3 linked regions of the Oryctolagus cuniculus genome follow. The protein of the gene in region 2 interacts with the protein of the main gene of each other region in a pairwise test. Links are inferred from orthologs where the notes say so. Each region holds a gene or a part of one and is shown on either strand. Other genes may lie near its edges.

Region 1 (3,644 bases), on a different chromosome or scaffold from region 2:
GCAATTTACTACTGCCTTCTTCCTACGTGTCCATCTGTTATCTACAGAGAGCTACACGCCAGGGCAGACCAGGGAGACCCCAAGGGTCTCCACATAAATGGCCCACGTTCCAAGGGTGACTGCTGACATTTTCTTGTTTGTCTGTGTTCTACAACATGAGCTGACCAATCAAAGCGGCAGGACCTGTCTGTGGCTAACATACTTCAGACTGTGCTCACCTTCTGTGTGGTCCCCACGTCGTGTGTGCTCACAGCTGTTCCTCGATGGACTTCCTCATGCTGCACTTGTGCACGCAGTAACTCCAAAGTCCCCTTTATATGCTACAAGGGATTTAAAAAAGGGAAACGAGGAAGTATACGTGAGCGCTGAATCGGTGAAAGCTCATGCATCCACCTTTACCAAGTCAGCATCTGGGCCTCCACTGCATCACCATTTTTTATATTTTGCTGTTTTTAAAAAATGAGCATATATAAGTTTGCAGAGGAGACCATTTGGGATAATTTACTTTAGATGCATCTATCTACAAAAGTGATCAAAATACATTGATCAAGTTCACTTATTAAGTAAAGCTAACCACTATTTCATATCAATAACAGAACTCTTGGGGCCGGCACCGTGACTCACTTGGTTAATCCTCCGCCTACGGCGACAGCATCCCATGTGGGCGCCAGGTTCTGGTCCCGGTTGCTCCTCTTCCAGTCCAGCTCTCTGCTGTGGCCTGGGAGTGCAGTGGAGGATGACCCAAGTGCTTGGGCCCCTGTACCCGCATGGGAGACCAGGAGGAAGCACCTGGCTCCTGGCTTCAGATCAGTGCAACACCAGCTGTGGCAGCCATTTGGGGAGTGAACCAACAGAGGGAAGACCTTTCTCTCTGTCTCTGTCTCTTGCTGTCTATAATTCTGTCAAATAAAAAATAAATAACAGAACTCTTTAATAAAACAGCAATTAAAACAAATCTTTAAAATTTCTTTTAAAATATATTCTAGAATTGAGAAATTTATAAAAATTACATCAGGTCAACTTCTTATAAATCACTCCAAATCAGAGATTATGTGAAGGAGGAAATTGTCTGGTTCCTAGGTTCTCATACGCATTTCATGAGGGAGACTTTATGAAGCCCTGGAGTTGATCTCCACATAGACCATGTAAAATATATCTGCTTATTTCAGATTTCACAGACTCAGTTATCTTTGCATATGCATTAATTTTCAGGTTTGAGTCTGAGAGGGCGATACGCCTAGCGGTGGAGGCAGACCTTCAAGGCCTGGGTAAGGTTTTTGATGACCTAACCGTAAAAAGAACAAATCTGGAGGTTCAAGTTGAAGAACTGAATAACGACTTGGCTCTCCTCAAGAAAGAACATCAGGAGGTGAGAAAATACTCAGGTGTGGCATTGGGAATGATGGGAAGGCTTTACTAATGAGGAGGAGGAGACACAGAAGAAGAAGAGCTGCTGGTAGCGCTGGTGACGATGACACAACAGTGGATGACACAACAGTGGTGTCGGTTCTTATTTCTTGTCACAAGGTTGCTGCCCATTACATGACCTGGAGCAGTATGTGGACACAACCAGCCTTTCCTAAGTTATTACTTCCTTTCTTTCCCACTCATTCCCAGTGAACAAAATAATGAGACTTCTTATGCCTCTTCTGCCCAGCCTGCCGAGAATATGCTTCACATAAAACCCACCAGGATTTTCACTCTCCTAGGAAACCGATGCCCTACGCCGGCACCTGGGCAACACCGTCAATGTGGAGGTGGATGCAACTCCAGGCCTGAACCTTGGCGACATCATGAGTGAAATGAGACAGAAATACGAAATCATGGCCCAGAAGAACCTTCAAGAGGCCAAAGAACAGTTTGAGAGACAGGTACAGCATCGTCCTGAAGTGTGAGCAGGCTGTCCTCCACAGAGACACAACTCGTCCTTCCCTTCTCCTTCCTTCTCTCTTTCTTTTTTTCTTTCTTTCATTGCTTCTTTCCCTCTCTCCCTCTGTCCTGCCTTCCTTTCTCTCTTTCCTTCTCTCCTTACTCACTCATTCTGTTTTTTCCTTCCTGGGTTTTAGACTGAAGCTCTGCAGCAACAAGTCACAGTGGACACTCAGGAGTTAAAAGGAACCGAGGCCCAAGTGACGGAGCTGAAACGCACCTACCAGAGCCTGGAGATAGACCTCCGATCGCAGCTCAGTATGGTAAAGCATACCCACCTTCCGCTTCCCAAACCCCAGTGAGTTGACTAAGTGTCTGTGTTAGGGATTCTGGAGATGCAAAGACCTAGACAAAAGGAGCCATCTACTTGCGGAGCCCGTGGGAAAACAGGCTGAACCACTGACTCTAATCAAAAGACAGAAAGCAACCTAGGAAAGGGCACCATACCGCACAGAAGCAGAGGAAAGAGTAGATCTGGAAAAGCCCACAGTGTGGAGAGCTTTCCATTTGAGATGAACCTTTAAGCTAGAAGTTAGGAGTAGAGATATTACAGGCTAAGCAAATCAGTCTGCCCACGGTAAATTATGCTGTGGTAACCAGCAGCCCTCAGAATCGTAACAGCAACAACACTGCACCCATCACAGGTCGGCTACAGCTCCAATCCATGACTTTCACTCCCCAGGGGCAAAGCTAAAGGAGCAGCCCCGCTCTGGGGCAGGCCAATGCTGTGGCAGAAAGAAAGAGAAATGGCCAAGACATGGGAGAGCCCTGCAAACTTCTCACAAAAGGCATTTCTCAGTTTCACCAGCATTTGCTTAGCCAAAGAAGTCATGTGACCAAGCCTGGTGTTGATGCGCTGAAGAAATCTAATCCAAACCGCCAATCCCAGGGCCAAGCCTGAGGGAGGGGGAGGGAACCTGGCCTGCTGATAGGGTGGGAAAGCAAACACTGAGGATGGTAACACAGTGCACCACACTGAGAACAGTGGGTGCCAAGCCAGAAACAAAGAAAAAAACCAAGAGCTGGTGATCCCAGCTGGCAGGCTGTGGTTGCCTAGCGAGAAAGTGGGAAGCAGAGCTATAAACACACGTGAGTCCCCCAGGCTCCAGCTGCAGAAGTACTCCTCAAAAAGAGTTTAAATTGAGCCACTTCTTACACCAAGTCCCTAAATAACAAAGCCCTCTTTTTCTTGTGCTCACAGAAAGAATCTCTGGAGCACACCCTAGAGGAGACCAAAGCTCGTTACGGTAACCAGCTGGCCACTATTCAGGGCCTGCTAAGCTCTCTGGAGGCCCAGCTGATGCAGGTTCGCAGTGACACAGAACGCCAGAACAATGAATACAACGCCCTTCTCGACATAAAGACTCGTCTTGAGCAGGAAATTGCTACTTACCGCCTGCTTCTGGAAGGAGAAGATGTAAAGTAAGGATCATTAACATGGGCTGTGTGTATCAATGTCTAGATACTGTCCTATTTTACTGTCCTTGCTACCCATGACCCAATGCAATCCCTAACACAAAAGCAATTATACACATACCACTCACAACAACAAAAGTACACCAAAAAGTACACACACACCCAAAACACCAAATATGGCCTTTGTACCTGAGGTTATGTGGTAGGGCTAAGTTAGAAGATGGCTATCCAAATGATACCAATTGTGTTAAGGCCAGTTTTTGTGATTAAAGTATAATTTAAAGCAAAGTTACTTTTTT
Region 2 (4,170 bases):
CTGTGAATCATAAAAGTAGAGTTGGAGCAAAAAACCCAAGATTGGATGGAAGAGGCAAAAGCCAAACCACGTAGGCTCTTCAGATTCCAGGTGCAAAGAGTACTGGGTTTTATTCCAACGTCTATAAGCAGCGGTGATAAAGAATTGTGACCTCGGGGCTGGTGCCTGCAGTGCCGCCATCCCACATGGGCGCCAGTTCAAGACCTCCTAGCTGCTCCATTTCCAATCCAGCTCTCTGCTATGGCCTGGGAAGGCACTGGAGGATGGCCCAAGTCCTTGGCCCCCGCACCCAGTGGGAGACCTGGAAGAAGCTCCTAGCACCTGGCTCCTGGCTTCGGATCGGCGCAGCTCTGGCGGTTGCGGCCAATTGGGGAGTGACCCAGCGGATGGAAGACCTCTCTCTCTCTCTGCCTCTCCTCTCTGTGTAACTCTGCCTTTCAAATAAATAAATAAATCTTTTTAAAAAATTGTGATCCCACCTTTGGAGAAAAATCTGGCCTTTTCAGTTTTAGCCCTAGTACCACAAGGACTTTGTACAAAATGGGACGAAGAAGTTTCAGGAATGGGCCTGAGGTCAAACACCCCTGCAGGGACCCCTCTGCCCCTTCCTGCGGGACTGCCGAGCTTATTGGGGGGGGGGGGGGGTAACTACCTTTCACAAGTTACCCGGGCTCTTGGAGAACGCCTGCAATGGTGATTATTTCTTCTGAGTAAAAGGCAGGGTAGCGGAGTAGTCAGGTTCTGAACCACTGCTCGAACCCAGCATCTGTGACCGTGGGCGAGCTGTCTAACGCGAGCCTTACAGCCCTCTTCCGTTAAATGGGAATGACAAATAGTACTTATCTCCAGCAGCTAGGAGGCCAGGGCTTTTAAGAGACCAGGGAAGCACACGGGGTGTGCTCAGAGAACCGCTACGGTCACTGAAAGCCTGCGTCAGAATAAGGAAATCGAGGCAGGGAGAGAAAAGAACGTCCAGTCGCGTGGCACCTAGGGATGAAGTCGGACCTGGAACACAGGCCTGCCTCCCAGCCCAGGCCTCTCCGGAGTCCCCGGACTGACGGAGTGTGGACCGAGGCACGCGGGCGCAGTGAGGCTGGGCCGCACAGGGCTTCTGCACGACACCGGCGAGGTTGACGTGGAGGTTTGCTCAGAACCACCGGCTCCCCAGCCCTCCGGAGTCCGCGGCTCTGAGGACGAGAGCATCCTGGGAGTTGTGTCGACCGATGCATGGTGGGACGTGTAGTCCGCTCCTGTCCCCGCCCTCCCGATGCACCCGCCTTGGAGGCCGCCTTCGCTCCCGGCTCCCGGCAAGCTCCGCGCCAGCGCCGGCTACTAATTGGCTGTGGCTCGGACAGGCGGCTCTGCCGGCAGCGGTTACCCAGGGTTTCCGGTGCGAGGCCAGCGCTGGGGACGCGGTCGCACGTCGCCCGTGAGGTGAGCCCAGCGGCGGGACGACGGACGGTGAGGGCCTGCAGACCTGGACACTTTCGGCCAGCGGGGAAATTGCTCCGATTTCTGCGCGTGGGCGGCGGCGGGGGTGGGGGGAGTCGGGGTGACGCTGTGCGCATGCGCGCGACTGGAGGGCGCGCGGGGCGTGGGTGGCTGCGTGCGCGCGGGCGCGGGAGCCCACGTGGGACCTGGGGCGCGGGGGGAGGGGTCGGAGTCGAGCGTCCCGCCACGTCAGTCTGCGGCCGGGAGCCAATCCCGCGCCGGGCCTGCCGTGAGGGGCCGTGTGGGGCCGGGAAGTGGCTTCGGGGGGAACAAGGAGGCCTCTCTCCTCACCCGCTCCAGGAGCAGCGCCCCGGAAACCCGCCGGGGTGCGCCAGGCCCCCTGACCGGCCGGACAGCGGGAGAACCGTTGGCTCCCTCCGTTGAAGGTGCGCCTGGGCTGTGATTTCTGATCCAGGCTGCGAAGAATTCTGTGGAAAATAGCAACTGTGTTTCTCAAGGATCCAATCCCAACCTAAGGTGGCAGCGCACAATGAAGAATCAAGACAAAAAGAACGGGGCTGCCAAACAGCCCAACCCCAAAAGCAGCCCGGGACAGCCGGAAGCAGGAGCGGAGGGAGCCCAGGGGCGGCCCGGCCGGCCGGCCCCCGCCCGAGAAGCCGAAGGTGCCAGCAGCCAGGCTCCCGGGAGGCCGGAGGGTGTGTGCCAGCTCTGCGTTTCCAGCCGCCTGGGGGAGGAGTTCGCGGCCCGGCCCAGGGAGGAGGCAGCGGGGATGTGGAGCATCCCAGGCTCTGGGGAGGGGAGGCCCTTGCAGGCTTCTCGCAGGTGGCCGGCACCTGAGGCCTCAGCCAGTGACGCCGGGTTCCATCCGAAGGACCTCGGTCACCAGTGTGGGTCACTGCCCTTGGTTCGTTGTCGAGGCATTTCTGGAGCTGCTTGCATAGCAAGCGGGGGCTTTTAGAGGGAGGGGAATGGACGAAACATTGAGTTGCCTGCCTCCTGCGACATGGCAGTCCCAGGTGCCGTACGTACTTATTTTATGCTTGAACAAACTGTATTGGGGAGGTTGCGAGAATTAAGTAAGCTGGGGCAACCTTAAACCTGAACCAGTGAGGCTGGCTGGGCTCACGATCCCAGGTGGTGGTCTAACCTTGCCGTCTGTCGCTGCCTCTCGTCCTCTCCTGCCCTAGGGGCTCAAGCCAAAACTGCTCAGCCTGGGGCGCTCTGTGATGTCTCTGAGGAGCTGAGCCGCCAGTTGGAAGACATACTCAGTACATACTGTGTGGACAACAACCAGGGGGCCCCGGGTGAGGATGGGGTCCAGGGTGAGCCCCCTGAACCTGAAGATGCAGAGAAGTCTCGCGCCTATGTGGCAAGGAATGGGGAGCCGGAGCCGGGCACCCCAGTAGTCAATGGCGAGAAGGAGACCTCCAAGGCAGAGCCGGGCACGGAAGAGATCCGGACGAGCGATGAGGTCGGAGACCGAGACCACCGGAGGCCACAGGAAAAGAAGAAGGCCAAGGGTCTGGGTGAGCAGAGGGCAGCTGCGGGGGGCTGTGGGGAGGGCTTTGCACCTGACATTCCTTGGGCTGTGCAGCAGGGAGTCTCCCTGGTTGATTCAAAGCGCAGGGTATTCCAGCCACAGGCCGGAGTCGTTCAGGTTGGGAGCAAGTGAAATGGAGCCTGATCCTCATGGACAAAGCGGAGAGGTTTGGATGGGCTCTGTACCTGCCCACACCGCTTCGTCCCTGCTGTGTGACCTTGGGCATGTCCTTTCCCCGCCCTGGGCAATAGTTTCCAGTTCTCTACAAGGAGAGGATTGGGCTAGGCCAAAGTTGCAAACGCAAACGTCTGTGTAAGCCAGGACCGAGGGAGGGCCTGCTTTCTGCCCAGGGTGGACTGCAGCCTTGTTCCTTGAGTGCTCTGCACTGTGCCTGCTGCCAGCTCGTCAGTTGAGAGCGTGTTGAACCTCAGACTGGGTGCAGCTGGAATTTTATTTTCTGTTAAGAAAAGCCAGAAATCAAGAGTCTGGTGAAATCTGTAGATTTCAGTAGTAGAAACCAAACAAAACCCATGCATGAGCCGGGTTTGGCCTGTGTGCCAGTGATTGGCATCTCTGTGCTGGTGTCTTCGGGCCTCCGCAGGCTGAGCAGCCTGGAGCCTGGTCAGCAGCCCCTGGGGAAAGGCCCCCCACTGGGCACAGGCAGTGGGGAAGTGGCAGAGACGGTTTTTTGACAGCAGAGTTCGTGTCTGTTAAGAATCTGGGTTAGATGACATTGGACTTGTGTCCTAGTCCCTGTCTCGCCGCCCTTCCCCCGCCCCCAGCACTTGTCACCCTAATTGAAAGAGGAACTTTTTTAAAGAATCATGGGAACACACATTGAAGGTCTCTTCATTATAAGGTTCCCTGTTTGGATGCCTCGTACACAGGGCTATAGATTTCTCACGGAGGCCAGGAGACCTTTTCGGATCCTGCTTCTCTGGGAAGGCCCCACTTTGCATTGAAACAGTAGCCCTGAATTTGCAGGTGGGATACCTTTTATCTGCTGGGAGGCAGACAAGCTTTTCTCCCACCAGTGGTGCCCCCCCCCCCCCGAAGGAATTCCAAGAGGTTTTGGTAAGCATCTGTGGGACACGTGCTGCGCTGGCTCTGTGGACAGCACTGAGGCCGCGGTGATAAGCAGGATTGAGTTGATCCCACCCCCATGGAGAAGCTGCTAC
Region 3 (3,644 bases), on a different chromosome or scaffold from region 2:
GTGCGCGCGTACCTTGGTCTTCATGCTCAGCATCTGCTCCTCAGCCCCCAGCAGCTGCTGCCGCAACAGCTGCATTCCAGGGTCGGGCTCCGGGAAATCCGCCTCGAAAGTCTGAGACTCGGTCGATGTCATGCTCTTCAGTGTTTGGGACTCCAGCCACCTCTCCGTCGCTCTCCGTGTCCTGTAACCCAGAACCCCAAAGCCCCGTTGGAAGGAACTCTGTCACTAGCGAACCTGGCTAGACCACTAGCCAAGCGGCCTCCATCCTTATGCCTTCAGATTATACCGAAGAGAGGCGGGGCCTTCTGCCGCGATGCACCTCCCAGATAAGCACGTGGAGAAGAGGACAGTCGCCAGGATCTCTTCTGCAGAGGCGTGTGGGCCCTGGGAGGCCCTACGAGTACCAGTCCAGTTGGTTTCAAGGCTGGGCCTGGTGGCAAGCCAGCTCCAGTCTGGCTGCGCTAAGCCATTAGACCTAATCAAGTCTGCATGGACAGTGTAGGAATGTCTTCTCAACCTACTCTCGGGCAGAGCAAACCAGACCCCGATAGCTACAGTGGAAGAAAACTAAATCTTAAGATTTATTTATTTAGCTTGAAAGTGTCAGAGTCACAGAGAGAGAGGTCTTCCATCACTGGTTTACTCCCCAGATGGCTGCAATGGCCAGTGTTGGGCCAGGCTGAAGCCAGGAGCTTCGTCTGGGTCTCCCACATGGGTGGCAGGGGCCCAAACACTTGAGCCATCTTCTGCTGCTTTCCCCAGGCCATTAGCAGGGAGCTGGATTGGAAGTGGAGCAGCCGGGACACAAACCGGCGCCCACATGGGATGCCAGTGTTGTGGGCAGCAGCTTTACCTGCCACGCCACAACGCCGGCCCCAAGAAAGCTAAATTTCAGAAGCCATTCAGCTCTGGTTCTGAGATCATCAGGCTGGGTTCCTGTGCCTGCCTCCAGGCGGTCTATCAGGGAGAGGATCAGCTCTCCAGGATCAGAGGAACACTGGTGCCCCCGGTGTCTGCCTTCAGGGATGCCCGAGGCAGAGTCTTGCCAAGCCCCACCCACCCGCCCCTCCAGCCGCCCGGCTGTACCTCTCGCTCTCGAGATCCGCGAGCTGCCCCGTGAGGCTGCTGTTGCTCTCCTGCAGGGCCCGGTACTCCTCGTTCAGGAAGTGGTAGCGCTCCTGCAACTGCTGCAGTTCTTCTGCACAGGACAAGCAGAGCGAGGTGAGTGCCTCGGGGTGGGGGAAGCACGGGTGAGGACCCCCCCCCACACCCCGTTTTCCTGCCTAGAAACCCGAGAGCACAAGTCGGAACAGCTTCACTTTTTCTGAAGACAGAGAAGAGACACCACTCCCAGAGGCTCAGAAGACAGGCCCAGAAGATGCCACAGCACCGGGAGGCCGTCCTGCAGATCTGCCCCGCCCACAGCAGGGTCTTGAGCTTCCGGGGGCTTGGGGGACTTTGATTAGGTTTCTGGTGTTCTGTATTTATAGTTGTTTATGATTCCTTTAGAACCAAAAGCTGAGAGCTGTGAACTCTGCCAGACAACCCAGCTGTTCTGATCTTTCTTTTCCTTCCTTTATCACCATTTCAAACACTCTGTTTGGTCTTGATGTGGTCAAGAATTTTTTTCTAACTTTTTTAATAAATGATTGTTTTTTAAGATACGCTATTTATTTGAAAGGCAGAGAGAAAGAGAGACAGAGAGAGGTCTTCCATCTGCTGCTTCACTCCCCAAATGGCCACAATGGTTGGGGCTGAACCAGGCCAAAGCCAGGAGCTTGGAACTCCATCCGGGTCTCCCACATGGGTGGCAGAGGCCCAAGCACTTGGGCCGTCTTCCACTGCTTTCCCAGGTGCATTAGCAGGGAGCTGGATCAGAAGCGGAGCAGCCGGGACTGGAGCCGATGCTCTGGTGGGATGCTGGTGTCGCAGGCAGCGGCTTAACCTGCTGCGCCACGCCAGTCCTCCAGCGATCTTCCATCGCCTCACGTATCACCAGCGCCAAGCCTCAGAACAGAGCAGGTTGAACTGCCCCACTGACCCTAAGGCCAAGTTAGCGATAATTTTTGTCACGTCATCATGATGTAAACACCCCTACGTTTTGTTCCCTCGTGACTAGGAACTGTGTCTCCTAGAACATGAATTCTACTGATATTTAACAAACACCGATTTGCTCTGTTTGGAACACAAGGCCTATCTCACCTGCTGGGAGCGTCACCGCCCTGAACGTCACTTCTGACGTTTCCTTTCCATTCCAATCAGAGTCCTTAGACTACCACAGGTTACCATAGGAGGAAGGAAGAAAACGGAAACCAGCCCTGTCTGACTTCAGCCTCAGATCGGGCTGCGGTCGCGAATGCTCGCAGCGGTATTTTTCTCTTTAAATAAACTTGTAATTTTAGATTTACTAAAAAGTTGCAAAGGTAGTAGAAAAAAGAAATTATCAGGTAGTAGAATTCCGGGCCGGCGCTGTGGCACAGTGGATTAAAGTCCTGGCCTGAAGCACCGACATCCTATATGGGCGCTGGTTCTAGTCCCAGCTGCTCCACTTCCAATCCAGCTCTCTGCTATGGCCTGGGAAAGCAGTAGAAGATGGCCCAAGTCCTTGGGCCCCTGCACCCATGTGAGAGACCCAGAAGAAGATTCTGGCTCCTGGCTTCGGATCGGCACAGTAGATGGAAGACCTTTCTCTCTGTCTTTCTCTCTCTGTGTAACTCTATCTTTCAAATAAATAAAATAAATCTTAAAAAAAAAAAAAAGAAAAAAAAGCAGTAGAGTTCCCTGAGAGAGTTCTCATCTGGTTTCCCCAACTGTTAACATCTCATTACCCCAGGACACGTGGCATGACTCAGCAATCAAGGCTGGCAATTACTGTTCACTCCACTCCACACTGGATTCAGATTTCTCTACACTTTCCCCCAAGGCCCTCTTACCGTTTACCGTTCCAGAACCCCACCTCGCTGTAAGGCCTTGTTCGCCACTTTGAATTCCCCATCCCGGCTGTGGAGATCAAGGCTCAGCGAGAGATGATAACCAGATGGAGTTCACGGTGCTGAGGGGTGGAGCTGTGTTTCTGCACTCTGCCCCTGTCTCACTCCAGCCCAAGCCCTTCCCTCTGCGCTAGCCTCCCTCTCCCTGCACCACCAGCTCTTCTCAGAGGCTGGACATGGCCGGGCAAACTTGAAGGCCTTAGATTCCTTGTTGCTTGCCTCTGCTTGCCTCTGCTTGGCCTGGCCAAATATAGGGCCTCCATTGTGCTCAGACCGGAAGTCCAGGCTCTCTGATGTCGCGAATCCTAGCAACTAGCTGGGCGCCTCACTGGCTGAAGCTTTGAGTGCCTCATATTTTACTGGAAATAATCTTCCTCTCCAGCTGTCTTGAGCTCTGATCTGTTGGCCCTAAAGTTTCCCCACTGGAAGGGTTAGAGGAGCCTCAGAATTAGCACCCCGGAGCCTGGGAAGCAGGGCCGGGCCCCCCATGACACGAGCCGGCAAAGCACCATGAGGCCAGAGCAGCAGGTGGCTTCCCAAGGTGACCCGGCTCTCTCCCCTCCTCCCAGAACTGGACAGCCCAGCAGGAGGGCTTCCCCACAGTCAGGTCAACAAAGCCCTAAAGGCTCTCTGGGGTAGAATTCCCAATGCACG

Evidence for each region.
Region 1: the proteins of TXLNA (region 2) and KRT20 interact in binary tests that used the Homo sapiens proteins (3 or more experiments, as listed by UniProt). The two-hybrid records come from large-scale screens. The link is inferred for Oryctolagus cuniculus from reciprocal best matches to the Homo sapiens genes TXLNA and KRT20.
Region 3: the proteins of TXLNA (region 2) and CCDC136 interact in binary tests that used the Homo sapiens proteins (3 or more experiments, as listed by UniProt). The two-hybrid records come from large-scale screens. The link is inferred for Oryctolagus cuniculus from reciprocal best matches to the Homo sapiens genes TXLNA and CCDC136.

Annotation. Positions count from the first base shown.
Region 1 is NC_091448.1:21,698,207-21,701,850, forward strand, and holds part of KRT20 (keratin, type I cytoskeletal 20), read left to right. Parts: exon of another isoform or gene 1-320; intron 321-624; exon of another isoform or gene 625-899; intron 900-1,212; coding exon 1,213-1,369; intron 1,370-1,709; coding exon 1,710-1,871; intron 1,872-2,066; coding exon 2,067-2,192; intron 2,193-3,130; coding exon 3,131-3,351; intron 3,352-3,644. UniProt on the Homo sapiens protein: Plays a significant role in maintaining keratin filament organization in intestinal epithelia. When phosphorylated, plays a role in the secretion of mucin in the small intestine.
Region 2 is NC_091438.1:140,273,093-140,277,262, reverse strand, and holds the start of TXLNA (alpha-taxilin), read left to right. Parts: upstream 1-1,266; 5' UTR 1,267-1,434; exon of another isoform or gene 1,435-1,461; intron 1,462-1,576; exon of another isoform or gene 1,577-1,791; 5' UTR 1,792-1,981; coding exon 1,982-2,147; intron 2,148-2,639; coding exon 2,640-2,978; intron 2,979-4,170. UniProt on the Homo sapiens protein: May be involved in intracellular vesicle traffic and potentially in calcium-dependent exocytosis in neuroendocrine cells.
Region 3 is NC_091434.1:164,999,770-165,003,413, reverse strand, and holds part of CCDC136 (coiled-coil domain-containing protein 136), read right to left. Parts: intron 1,199-3,644; coding exon 1,087-1,198; intron 182-1,086; coding exon 13-181; intron 1-12. UniProt on the Homo sapiens protein: May play a role in acrosome formation in spermatogenesis and in fertilization.